3 linked regions of the Neurospora crassa OR74A genome follow. Each later gene encodes a partner of the first gene's protein in a complex. Links are inferred from orthologs where the notes say so. Each region holds a gene or a part of one and is shown on either strand. Other genes may lie near its edges.

What was found. Proteins that work in one complex are often made in the same cells at the same time.
Region 2: NCU02951 (region 1) and NCU01761 share a complex: the UniProt entries of both Saccharomyces cerevisiae proteins name them as parts of the mitochondrial small ribosomal subunit. The link is inferred for Neurospora crassa OR74A from reciprocal best matches to the Saccharomyces cerevisiae genes MRPS8 and RSM27.
Region 3: NCU02951 (region 1) and NCU08728 share a complex: the UniProt entries of both Saccharomyces cerevisiae proteins name them as parts of the mitochondrial small ribosomal subunit. The link is inferred for Neurospora crassa OR74A from reciprocal best matches to the Saccharomyces cerevisiae genes MRPS8 and RSM19.

The regions. Positions count from the first base shown.
Region 1 is NC_026501.1:8,605,724-8,609,249, reverse strand, and holds NCU02951 (mitochondrial 37S ribosomal protein MRPS8), read left to right. Parts: upstream 1-1,217; 5' UTR 1,218-1,652; intron 1,653-1,748; 5' UTR 1,749-2,008; coding exon 2,009-2,494; 3' UTR 2,495-2,947; downstream 2,948-3,526. Other genes in the region: NCU02950 (hypothetical protein), read right to left, coding at 1-269, 337-503, 581-618; NCU02952 (hypothetical protein), read right to left, coding at 3,211-3,526. UniProt on the Saccharomyces cerevisiae protein: Component of the mitochondrial ribosome (mitoribosome), a dedicated translation machinery responsible for the synthesis of mitochondrial genome-encoded proteins, including at least some of the essential transmembrane subunits of the mitochondrial respiratory chain.
Region 2 is NC_026502.1:2,520,176-2,524,400, reverse strand, and holds NCU01761 (hypothetical protein), read right to left. Parts: upstream 2,648-4,225; 5' UTR 2,444-2,647; coding exon 2,405-2,443; intron 2,348-2,404; coding exon 2,139-2,347; intron 2,075-2,138; coding exon 2,016-2,074; intron 1,954-2,015; coding exon 1,934-1,953; 3' UTR 1,395-1,933; intron 1,303-1,394; 3' UTR 529-1,302; downstream 1-528. Other genes in the region: NCU01760 (pumilio-family RNA binding repeat protein), read right to left, coding at 1-107; NCU01762 (nucleolar RNAse III), read left to right, coding at 2,910-3,968. UniProt on the Saccharomyces cerevisiae protein: Component of the mitochondrial ribosome (mitoribosome), a dedicated translation machinery responsible for the synthesis of mitochondrial genome-encoded proteins, including at least some of the essential transmembrane subunits of the mitochondrial respiratory chain.
Region 3 is NC_026502.1:3,811,252-3,814,989, forward strand, and holds NCU08728 (mitochondrial 37S ribosomal protein RSM19), read left to right. Parts: upstream 1-1,440; 5' UTR 1,441-1,819; coding exon 1,820-1,862; intron 1,863-1,962; coding exon 1,963-1,978; intron 1,979-2,279; coding exon 2,280-2,459; intron 2,460-2,921; coding exon 2,922-2,958; 3' UTR 2,959-3,210; downstream 3,211-3,738. UniProt on the Saccharomyces cerevisiae protein: Component of the mitochondrial ribosome (mitoribosome), a dedicated translation machinery responsible for the synthesis of mitochondrial genome-encoded proteins, including at least some of the essential transmembrane subunits of the mitochondrial respiratory chain.

The DNA of each region.
Region 1 (3,526 bases):
GGTATCGTGCCGAGGTGGTGGTCCTGGCTCGTTGTGGACATCGCACTGGTGCGGAGGGAGCACACGTCGGATGCCATTGACGAATTGCAGAGCATCTTGATGGTTGTGAAAGTAAATGTCGAGCGAGTGAAGCTTGTAATGGTACTTGGCCTGATTGTGAGGGTCGTATGTTGGTAGATGCCACTCCTCGTAGCCCTCGACCTCGCCAACCGTCAAAGTTACAAGGCAGGTGTGGTTGTAATCGTACTCGAGATGGGTTTTGTCGAGGTCTGGCGACACATGATGTTAGCCTTCCCACTGTCGTCTCGAGCTCTCACTCTAAATCCTAATGCTTACAGCCATCGAAAGCATCCTGGTCTTCCCTTCCAGGTTGGTTCGCAATCTCCAGCCGTGCGCGGCCCAAGTTGGCATCTTCGAAAAGGTATACATAGGAGCCCTTGTCGAACCTGTGATGAGGCGGGTTATTTGTTGGAGGGCCGTAGAAGTAGTGAATATCACCAAAGCTATGCAGCGAATCAATCAGTCAGAATGCGCCCAGGAACTATCACCTCTTTATGGGATCAACGGAAGACAAACTTACAACGTGCCGACGTTCTCCTCTCCCTCACGGGCGGCCATCTTTTGTGATCAACGAACTCGCTTGAGTGAACAAACACAACAACACAACAACGGTAAAAAGGATTGAGAGAACTGAAAGACAGCAAACTTTCTCAGCTTCCCACCCGAGGGCTATCACGCCTAATATCAGAGATGACGGAACCCAAAGAAAACAAAAGCCACTCGGCTTCCGCGTCTTTGCGATAGTACCCTACCTCTTACATACCCTTGCAGGAGACCGTGGTCTGGTTCTTCACATTCGGCTCTCACTCCATGGCGCAATCAGCACACAGCCATCCAACCAGCGCGCACGATAGGTCGGTGATGCGACCCCTAGTGCCGGTAGAGGTGACCTTGCCTGGTGGTTGCATCGTCCTGGATGGTCACTGGATGGTCCGCCTGGGCGCTTAAGGTGGGATGCCAAGAAAGAAGCACGAGCAAGTCAATTGTCACACTCTCCAGTCCTTCTTTCACAATTGACGAGGAGGGAAAGGAGCGGGAGGGAAAGACAAGAAAAAAGGTGGGGTAAGCAGGATCCATCCTCAATAAACCTGGAGAGCTACCAAGAAAGCCCCACCGGACAGACACCTTCTGGTCTCTCTGGCGGAGGGACGGGAGGCCTTTCAGGGCAGCAGGGGTCTCTTTTGCAGTGACTTTCGTGCAAGGCACAGTGGAGGTCATTGCCCGAGGTCATTCACTCTTTCAACGCTCAGCCTGAGGTCTTTTCTCGAACCATCCCTGTCCGTCCTCCACACGGCCCCGGCGGCCAAGCAAACGCACGCACGCCCGCCAGCCCGTACGTAGTGCCGTACGGCAGAAGCGGACAGAGCAGCAGGGGGACAAAAAATCGGCAGCACAACTTACCTAACGGAGCCATCCCGATCGAGACCTCGAAACCGCAATTCGCATCCGGACCCCGTTGCGCGCCGCATTCGCGAGTCCCGAAACCTCCACTTGTTTTTACGGCTCCTCCGAAGTCCGAATTCCTCCATCACGACCACCGACCCGTGACGGCCACCCGACTGTGCGCAACAGCTACGGTCTCCCGATTGGTTGTGCGTTGCAATCTTCCTTTTTTTTTTTTTTTTTTTCTGTCCCGCGAATCTTCATCGGCACGCCTAGACTAACCTCAAGACGCCCCGTCGCTGCAGCACCGATTCCTCACCCGCATCATCCTTCTCTTCATCCCGCATCATCCTTCTCTTCATCCCGCAAGGTCCCCAGTTCGCCGCCGCATCTCCCGAGCACTTCTACACCGGACGGACCAAGCCATACCAGCCGATCGACCCGACGACTTACGCGACGACGGCCGACTTCTCTCTCTTTATAACCCATCACCCAGTGCATACCATTTTCTCTCTCTCTCTTCAGCAACACAAAAGTCCCACACGGGCATCATCAAACCTTCAAAATGGGCATTCAACAAATCACCAACATGTGCTCGCACCTCCAAAACGCCTCGCGCGCTCGCCTGGGCCTGACCTCCCTGCCCAACACCAAGTACAACCTCGCCCTGGCCCTGGCCCTGCACCGCGCAGGCTTCATCTCCTCCATCACGCGGGGCGGTCCTCACCCGCCCACGCCCGAGGCCCTCATGACCTACGAGCCCGAGCCCGTGACCAGTGCCAACGTGGCCACGCGCCGGTTGTGGGTGGGACTCAAGTACTGGAACGAGGAACCCGTCTTGAAGGAGCTGAAGCCGATTTCGAAGCCGTCGAGGCTGGTGACTGCCTCCCTGGAACAGCTGAACCGTGTGGCGAGGGGCTTTCCCGCGGGATACATGAAGGGGTTGCAGTTGGGCGAGTGTTTGTTTGTGAACACTGATAGAGGTGTGTTGGAGGTTAGGGAGGCAGTGGAGAGGAAAGTTGGTGGGCTGGTTTTGTGCAAGGTAAAATAGATGGGTAGAAGAAGAAGAAGGAGGAGGGTCTCAAGGATGGACGGTGGGGATAGGACATGAATTCGGTGAAAGGAAGGCATTGTTGGGAAGGAAGCGAGAGGAATAGAAGAAGAGGAGGAAGAGTCACCGCACTTTGGGAGGATCTCAAACCTGAACTGGAGCCAACCATTTCTGTGCGCAGTGTACGATACGGATGTGATTCCATTGTACACTAGACGACTTAGCAAGACTGGACAAACATGGAAAGGAATAGACATTGGCAAAGCAGAGCTCATCCTTGGTTCTTGCTATGTGAATATGAGGTATGAGGCCAAGAAAGACAACGAGCTGGCATCCTGTATGCTATGATCTATGCATGACAACTAAATCATCAGCACTCACCGTGGAAACAGATATCACCAAGATTGATAAGAAAAGGGATCGATTCATCCTGCTCCAGGGTGCTGTACAACCCACTATCTGCTATGCATTCATACTTCATGCTTCGCCAACTTTCTTACAAATGTGTGATTGGTCTTTCTACAAAGGTATCATGAAATGTGCTAACCCAGTAACACTGCATCCCCCTCTTTCACTGTCTCGAACAAGTAATAGGGGTGATTAAAAAAGACTCTACAGGCCAAAAAGCGATCACATCCACCATTTCTGGCTTCCTTTTACGAATCAGAAGTGTGCTTAAATTCCGAAGTGCTGGCAGACTTCTCCTCGCCGTGCTCCTAGATGTCAGCATCGGTGGTATCAACAACCTCGGCAGCGGACGAGGGGGCGGCTTCAGTCTCCTGGGCTGGCATCTCCTCCTTAACAACATGAACGTCAGAAGTGGGGGTTTGGGGAGCTTCCGTGGCTTCCTCTACCGGCTGAGCAACTTCTTGAGGAGTCTCCGTCACAGTGGGGAGGGGCACCTCAACAGCTTCTTCTGCCTTGGGAACCGGCTCAGCCTTGGCCGCAGCTGAACCAGCACGAGACTGTTTCGGTGTCGTAGCCGCAGATGGTGCTGCAGATTTAGTGGCAGGTTTTTTGGTCCGTGGCTTG
Region 2 (4,225 bases), on another chromosome or scaffold:
AACTCATCGGGAAGCTTCGTGTTCTCGTCCTGAGACTGCGAGAAACTCCTGGAAGCCGAAGCACGGCGCTCGTTGGGCGAGCCGGTGGATGCTGCGACGGCAGACATGGTCGTCTGCTGAGGGCTGGATGTTGAATGACCTAGCCTGAGGGGATTGGAGGGATGCTTTGGGTGCTGGTGTTTCACAATGGGAGGAGATGCTCAAGATGGTGATAGAGAAAAGCAGTAGATTTGGTTCCAATGGCGACGAAAGACACAGATAAATAGAAGCTTGGGGGCGAGATGACCACAAACCGCTTTTGAGAGAACACGGTTGGTGATGGCACCGACAAGAAGATGCAGAAAGAGAAGAAGCCTTAGAAATATGTGTTGATATAATGGGGAAAAGAGAAAGAGCTCCAAGAGCTGGTCTGGGACGGAAGAAAGAGTGTAAATGTGCCCGAGATACCCGTACTTTCAGCTACAGTTGCCCTGAAGTTGGACCTTCTCGCAAGGCAACAGCAACAAACCTCTTGGTGACGATGGACGCACCGGTCAGAATAGGGCTAGAGGTAGGTAGGTACCTCTAGGGTAGGTATGAGCCCGGGATGACCGAGACTAAAGTCGAAATGGTGGACCCTTGGCTCCCGAGGGAGGAAGGCACGATGGAACTGTGACCGGGACTGCCCAGGTGTCACTGCCCGGACACTCCAAGCAAAAAGGGGTTCACGATGCCTGTGAGATAATCCGCAATCTCTGTGATCAAAGCTCACTTGGGCTGCCATCAGATGATCTGACGAGTGAACGCACATCGGCTCGTCCATCCGAAGATCGGAATCGAATATGATGAGTCGCTGGGGAAGTTGCGACCGGTATTCCAGCTAACGATCATCGGCCTTTGGCGTCGTGCCTCCCGTCCTTGTGCCTAGCGGGATCCTTATCACCAAGCCGAAGTTTTTCACGTGTCGCGGGGACGTCGGGCATGATGGTCAACCGAGCCAGCGATGAGACATCCTGCCGCGTTAAGGACCTTGCTGTCCGGCTGCCACTTCCCATACGATCAACGGGTTTCTGGGTTAGGCGTCCGAGCCCCAATGACATATTCCGAGTTCATTAGGCGGTATTCATACCTAGGTGTTCATGTCACCTGCCATTCGGTGTGATCTACCATTCTTCGTCGGAATGAAAATGAGTAGAGTAGGTAGGGAAGCATGCAACGTCTGGAAGCTTCAACAAGACAGCACCATCACCTAGCATCGTGGACATTAACAGATAGGAGTGGCGGGTCGGCTTTTCTCGTCCGGTAGGGCTGGGATGCCAAGGTCTTTGCAAATTATGGTAGGTGTGATTAGCTTCCTTTCCTATCCATTTTTATTTTGGAAAAGGCTTGAAATGGAGCAGGAAGAGCCAGCGCACCTTTTCACATTCATGGCGTTCTTTGACATGGACGGCTTGTGCAAAGATCTTGGGTGATCCGACACTCGCTTGTTGTTTTCACCCAAATGATCAAAGCTGTTCGTAAAGAGGGACAATGGCGAAGGGTCATATCCTCCCTCAAGCCCATCCGCGCTATGGAATCAAGATACGGTATCTTCAGCTTATCAACAGGCGCTTCTTTGTTCGATGCATCAAGAGACTTGTGTAGACGCATGGGAGGACAGTCCCGAGATGAACCTTTGACAAAGCTGGTAACCACAAACCTGCTTGTCGAACTAGGCGGCTATTCAACACCATTTGAAGGGGCAAGTGCCGCGGGCGTCGCTAACCATATGTACAGTTGTGGCAGCACCTCGTCACGGGGAGACTGTGATGGCATCAAGTACTGAGCGGAAAAATGCATGTCGAAATGGACCAACTGCCGGAGGAACGCCAGGTATTCGGGGTATATGATTCTAGTCCGCCCACTATATGATACATGTACACGTCGTGTAGTTCTGATTTCGGGACGCCGTGTCTTATTTCTTCTTCTTCGCATCTGTCGCAGAATATGAACGTTAGAGATTTGAACCGTGAGTAAGAGGTGCAGACGAAACCCACCGGCCGCCGAGGGTGCCGTTCTCTTCTTCTTGGGCGCTCCCTTGTCGCGGGCTCTCAGACTGTAAGGTATGGTTAGATTGTGATGTTTGCAAGTAAACACTAGCAGGAATGAGAGAGACGAACGCTGCCAAGTGCTCCAAACGATCATCATCGACCTCATCGTCAACCTCGAGACCAAGAGTACCGAACTCCTTTTGAAGCTCGCGAATACCGACGTTCTTGCGGGGGTAGTAGGTCGCAAGTGCCGGGCCCTTGAGTCGCTGACGCAGGATCTTGTTACCGGTCCGGATGCCTTCGGGATTGAAAGTCGTCGAGAAGAGCTCGCAACGAGCCTAGGTATAACCTAGTTAGCGAACTGGTTTTTCCCCTCATTCGGAACTGTTCCATACCTTCACAAGTTGCAGTAACCGCGCCCGTGGGACCGACATCTTGCCGTTACATGGAATTGCGGATTCGCGAATTCTAGAAACAGCAACAACAAGAGCCGCCGGATTGTTCGACGTCGTTCAGAGATCTCCCGCTCCAGCCCGTCAAGCAATGCGCCACCAATCATAACCATTCATGGGTACAAAGAGTGGGGCACGGACTGCAACCGTTGTTTTCGAGCCGCAGTGTCCCCGGGCCGTCAGCGCAAGCCCGCTGATGAAGCCGAGGGCGGCGCGTTCCAGGGCTGACAGGCGCTAAGAATGACAGCTACGGGCCATAACAGGGCAGCAGCAGCGCCCTGATGTGGATCTGGGGTCGAACAGGGGGTTAGGGTTTCCACTACGCAATGGCCCGGGATTCGTTCTCATCTTGAAGAATCCGTTTTCGATTCTGCCTCTACAATTTCATCGCCGCATCAACGCGCGATCTGAGGCATTCGGATTGCTTGTAGGAAAGTACAATCTTGCCATGCCGAAACACGGACCCACCCCGGAGGAGGTATCAGAACCGCCCTCCAAGCGTGCGAAGTCAGACTCTGCACCATCCGCATCACAAGGCGCTACATTGGAGTCCGCAACCTCCGTCCAAATTCCTTCTTTGCATGCCAATACCAAATGGACACTCGCTACCATCCAGAGAATGCGGCCACCGCTCCCCGACATTCTGGACCCGGCACTCAAAAAGGCGGCGCTCACACACCCTGGTAAAGCTAACAACGACCCTGTTGCAAGTTATGAGAGGCTGGAGTGGATTGGCGACGCTTATCTTGAGCTCATCGCCTCCTCCTTCATATATCAAACTTTCCCGACCTTGCCGGCTGGCAAAAGCGCACAACGTCGCGAGATGCTTATCCGCAACACCACACTAGGCGAATTCTCGGTCTATTACGGCTTGGACAAGATGGCCGATATCCCGGAAGAATTCAACATGGAGGGCAGAGTGGGCGGTACAAACGCAAGTCAAAAAGTCAGAATTAAGATTCTCGGAGACCTTTTCGAAGCCTATGTAGGAGGCGTGATTCTTTCTGATCCTGCCAATGGGATTCAGCGTGCTTCAGACTGGCTCAAGGCCCTATGGGGCCCTCTCATGGCGGAGTACATCCGCGAGGAAGAGAAGAAGGCCAGGAAGCCGGAGCAAAAGCAATCCGCAAGTGGCCAGACACTCGACCCAAAGACAGTACTCGAAGCTACCATTGGAGCCAGGGGTGTCAAGATCGAGTATAAAGATCTCCCTTCCAAAAACCTGAAGGACAGGGGAACCAAGCTGCCTCTTTTCGCTATTGGCTGTTTTATGACAGGCTGGGGGGAGACCAACCTGCAACTTGGGCACGGAAGTGCTTTGAGCAAGAAGGAAGCTGGTCAGAAAGCAGCTCAAATGGCCTTGGATAACAAGAAGCTGCTCAAGAAGTTTGCGGACAAGAAGGCGGAGATGAAGGCCGCGCGGGAAGCCCAGCTGCAGCAGGCAGGAGTGACGTTCCCCTTGAAGGATCAGCCTTCGGCACAGGAAACCACTGGCGGCGTGCTGTAGCGACCAAGTACTGTTCGGTCTCATATGCCCCTGATCTTTAATACTTCGACACACCAACCATCACATGCCCGTAGTCTCGTGGTTTACCTCGGGCGTCGGCCATGAGAAGGACGCATAGCAGATGAATTAGGCCATTCATTACTACGGGTAAACGACCCGGGTTCAAGGGAGGACCAGGGACCGTTTCGTTTGCACATACGAAGAGAAACCACAACGAACAAGCTGTGGCCAAAGTCGATGATGAACCATCTTGTTCA
Region 3 (3,738 bases), on another chromosome or scaffold:
TTATGATGGTAGAATTACTCGTGGAGCACCATGCCGTTATAGTGACCGTTCAGCCCGAAAGAGGAGGGATCTGGAGAGCATTAGATCATGTGAAGAGACGGGTAACACTGATACTCAGGCACTCGTCCGCATTTGCGGTAGTCCGACAAGTTGATCAAGGCACACTCAGACACCCAGGGACGGGAAGTGCTCCCTACTAGTTTATTCCGGGAACGGTTGATCTTGATGGGTAGCTAGTGCAAACAATTGCGCAGCAGTCGAGCTGCTTGATGATGATGATGATGATGATGGAAGTTGGAACTCCATGGCTGGCTGGATAGTAAACAAATGCAGCCCTGTTCTCAGGTGGCTCGCGGGAAGAACGAATGCGGTGCCCTTCTCGGACTTTGCGCGCAGACTGGTGAACCGATCAAATGTTGATCAGACCGACCAGAGGGAGGGGGGGCATTCGTCTGAGGGCATCGACGATGCAAGCACACCCACAAATGCGCAAAACAAAAAAAAAAGAGTGACGGATGGTGAAATCCAAAAAGAAGGTCGTTGTGAACGCGAACGGGAAACCACGGCCAGATAGATATATTGACTGCGGTGGCGCTCTTGCCTAGACGAAGAATCCATGACGGCCCAGTCCATGCCCAGGCAAGGCAAGGCAAGGCACAGCACGGCAGTTCACGCCTGCCTTAAACTACCTACACTACGTCCTACATTGATGTACAAACATCATACATACTGTAGTGGTGGCGAGGTGTATGGAACTTGAAATGCTGAGGAAGGAGCAACACTGAAGAAGACGGAGTGCACGATCGATGTGAACCACTGAGCTGCAGTCAGGAATCGACGGACGCACGCCGGTTATCGGCCACCACCAAGAATGCCAATAGTCCGGAATCCGGGATGCTATGTTTTGGAGTATCGCAGTCGCGTTAGTCCTGAACCAATTGACGGCAGCACGGGCAGCAAGTGTCTGAGAGTGCCAACCAGTGCCGCCGGTTTGCTAAACGGTATGTAAGTCATATAATACTTGCTGTATCCTAGTTCGAGTAACACCAAGATTTCGGCCCCAAGTGCTGCTCGAGCAGGGGGGCTTGCCAGTACAGGGGTAGGTACCTGTAGGGTGTGGTGCACGAGTCACACCACCATAGCATTAGATTCAGCAGTATCGTGCATAGATTTTCTTCTTCTTGCGCACCCAAGAAATGCACGATAACACAAATTGGATGCTAATTGATCTTTGCCATCAGGTAGACCCCGCTTTCTCTGCTCACTAAGCAAGTGCCGTTTGACTGAAGATTTCCGTACCTCTCCACTGCAGGGTTGACATCCATCTGTATATTGACGGTAGGTTACCTTGACAAAAAGAGGTGTTTAGAGGGTTATCATCGTAGTGTAATTATGGGGGCGTTGCTTTTAGATATCGATAGACAGGGTTACCCGTGCAGGGGTTTTTGCTGTATCGATAATCGCTTTGATGAATGCCCCCTAACCCTGTAGAAGTACCTACTGCGTACATAGGTAGCCAGGGGGGAGAGTCAGCGGGGGCGTCCGTACTAGGTATGCCGGCCGGCAACCGATAAGCTTGGCAGTTCCAAAATTCGGCCGTGGTCAGCGCTCCCGTCACTGCCGCCGTCGCCGTGATACCTGGAACCGCTCCGCCCGCCCGCCTGCCGGACTCGCCGACTGACTGACCGACCGACCGACCGACCGACCGACCGACCGATTGATCTCAAGACCATCCGAGTGTCGCGTACGCGCCCGGCCTCTTCCCGCTATTTGCAGCCACCACCCATCACCACCGAATTCCTTCTCGTTCGCGCCCAACATGCAGCCAACAAGGGTTCTTTTCAAGAGATCCGTGTGGAAGGGTAAGTTATTTTGTTTTGTCTCCTCCTAAGCTTCACCTTGCGATAATGTACTCTTTGCGCCGTCCAAGACAGTCAAGCTAACCCGCATCGCCGACTCCAGGTCCGCACATTGTCCCGTAAGCTCTACTACCCCTTCCCCTCGTTTCTGTCCCCGCGATCTCAATGACGACGACGACGACGACGACGACGACGACGACAATTCAATGCGCCGGCGCACTCCCGAGGACTCTCTCTCCTCCCTGCTCCCGATCAAAGCTGCCGGCGCATGTCCATCATTCTCTACGAGCCCATCCCGCGACATTCCCCTCCATCCGCGAACCAACGCAGTCCAACCGAATCCAACCGCAACGCTACAAGCATAGTCACCTATCTTGAGCGCAAACGGGCACTAACCACCAACGCATACACACAAAACAGTCTCCCCATCCAGCGCCCCGAGCCCGGCAAGAAGATCGCTCCCATCCGCACCCAGGCCCGGTCCGCCACCATCCTGCCCAACTTTGTCGGCCTCAAGTTCCAGGTACACAACGGCAAGGACTACATTGACTTGACTGTCACCGAGGAGATGGTGGGGCATAAGCTTGGAGAGTTTTCTGCGTAAGTGCTCTTTCTTTCTTTCTTTTTTTTTTTTTTTGGTTCTTTCTTCCCCTACTTTCACTAGTCTACTTTTTTCCTTTCTTTTCCTTCTTTGACTATTATTTTTCAATTTCAATATATTATTTTTTTAAAGGGTCTTTTTTTTTTCCTTTTTTTTTTTTTTTTAAGATGGCGGCGGAAATGCCATAAATGTTGGCGGTGTGGGAAAAGAAAAAAAAAAAAAAAGAATTTTCCTACACAAAATTCAATGGTCTGACACGGCATGGCCATGGCATTGGCTGGTGGCAAGCCATGAATGGCTGGACGGGCGACATGTGTTGGACGCCACCACGGGATGATGATGATCGTAGGCGGTGGTGCAGTGTGGTCAGCAGAAAACAAACAACACAAAAGACACACATTGGGCATATGGACATGAACAATTGGACCGACACTAACTGAATGGTTCAAAACCTCAAACAGTACACGCAAGCCCTTCATCTGGGGTAAGAAGAAATAGACAAACCAAACTTCGTTCGTCTCTTCAGTGATGATGATGAAGAAGAAGAAGAAAAGAGAAGAAGAAGTCGATTGATTGATGGATGCGGGTTTGACACGTTTTTTCTGTGGGCGGCGTTTATTTCGGCAAAAAACAAAAAAGCATATTTTCGTTGCTTATCTGTATCATACCATACCATTGTCAGAGGAGGGCACAGGTTTCTGTACACATATCATATTTTGGGGCAAATTAGAACTTTCGCTTGGATTCATACTACTGTGCTGTGTCTGTTGTTTCAAGATGAACATGTATATGTTGTGTAGTGTGTAGTTTAATTATGCTTTGTAATTGATAAAAATATGCTAGTATCGCCAGGTATTATTATTTTTAGCCTAGACTAGTAGTCATAACGGGTTCACTGAGAGCAAACAGGACGATGGCAATCTTCCATAACGGCGCCTCCTGAACGCCAAGCGCAAAAAAAAAAAAAAAAAAAAAAAAAAAAGGAAAAAAAAAAAGGAAAAAGAAAAGAAGACCCGATGACCCCAAACCCCTTTTGCACCGTTCCCGTGTTGGACCCTTGATTGCCGACCCTTTGCCCATCCATCCATCCATCGATGCATCATCCTCTTGATATCCTCCTCCTTGAGCAAGTAACCACTTGTTGCCGCCCCTTTAAGATAGTATCATCCTTTGGTCTGCCATGCCACCATTCCGCTCACACTCAGGCAAACCACCCACCGTTTCCCCATCCCTTCTCATCAGTAGAGCAGACAGTCCTGCACCGTGACCGTGACTGCC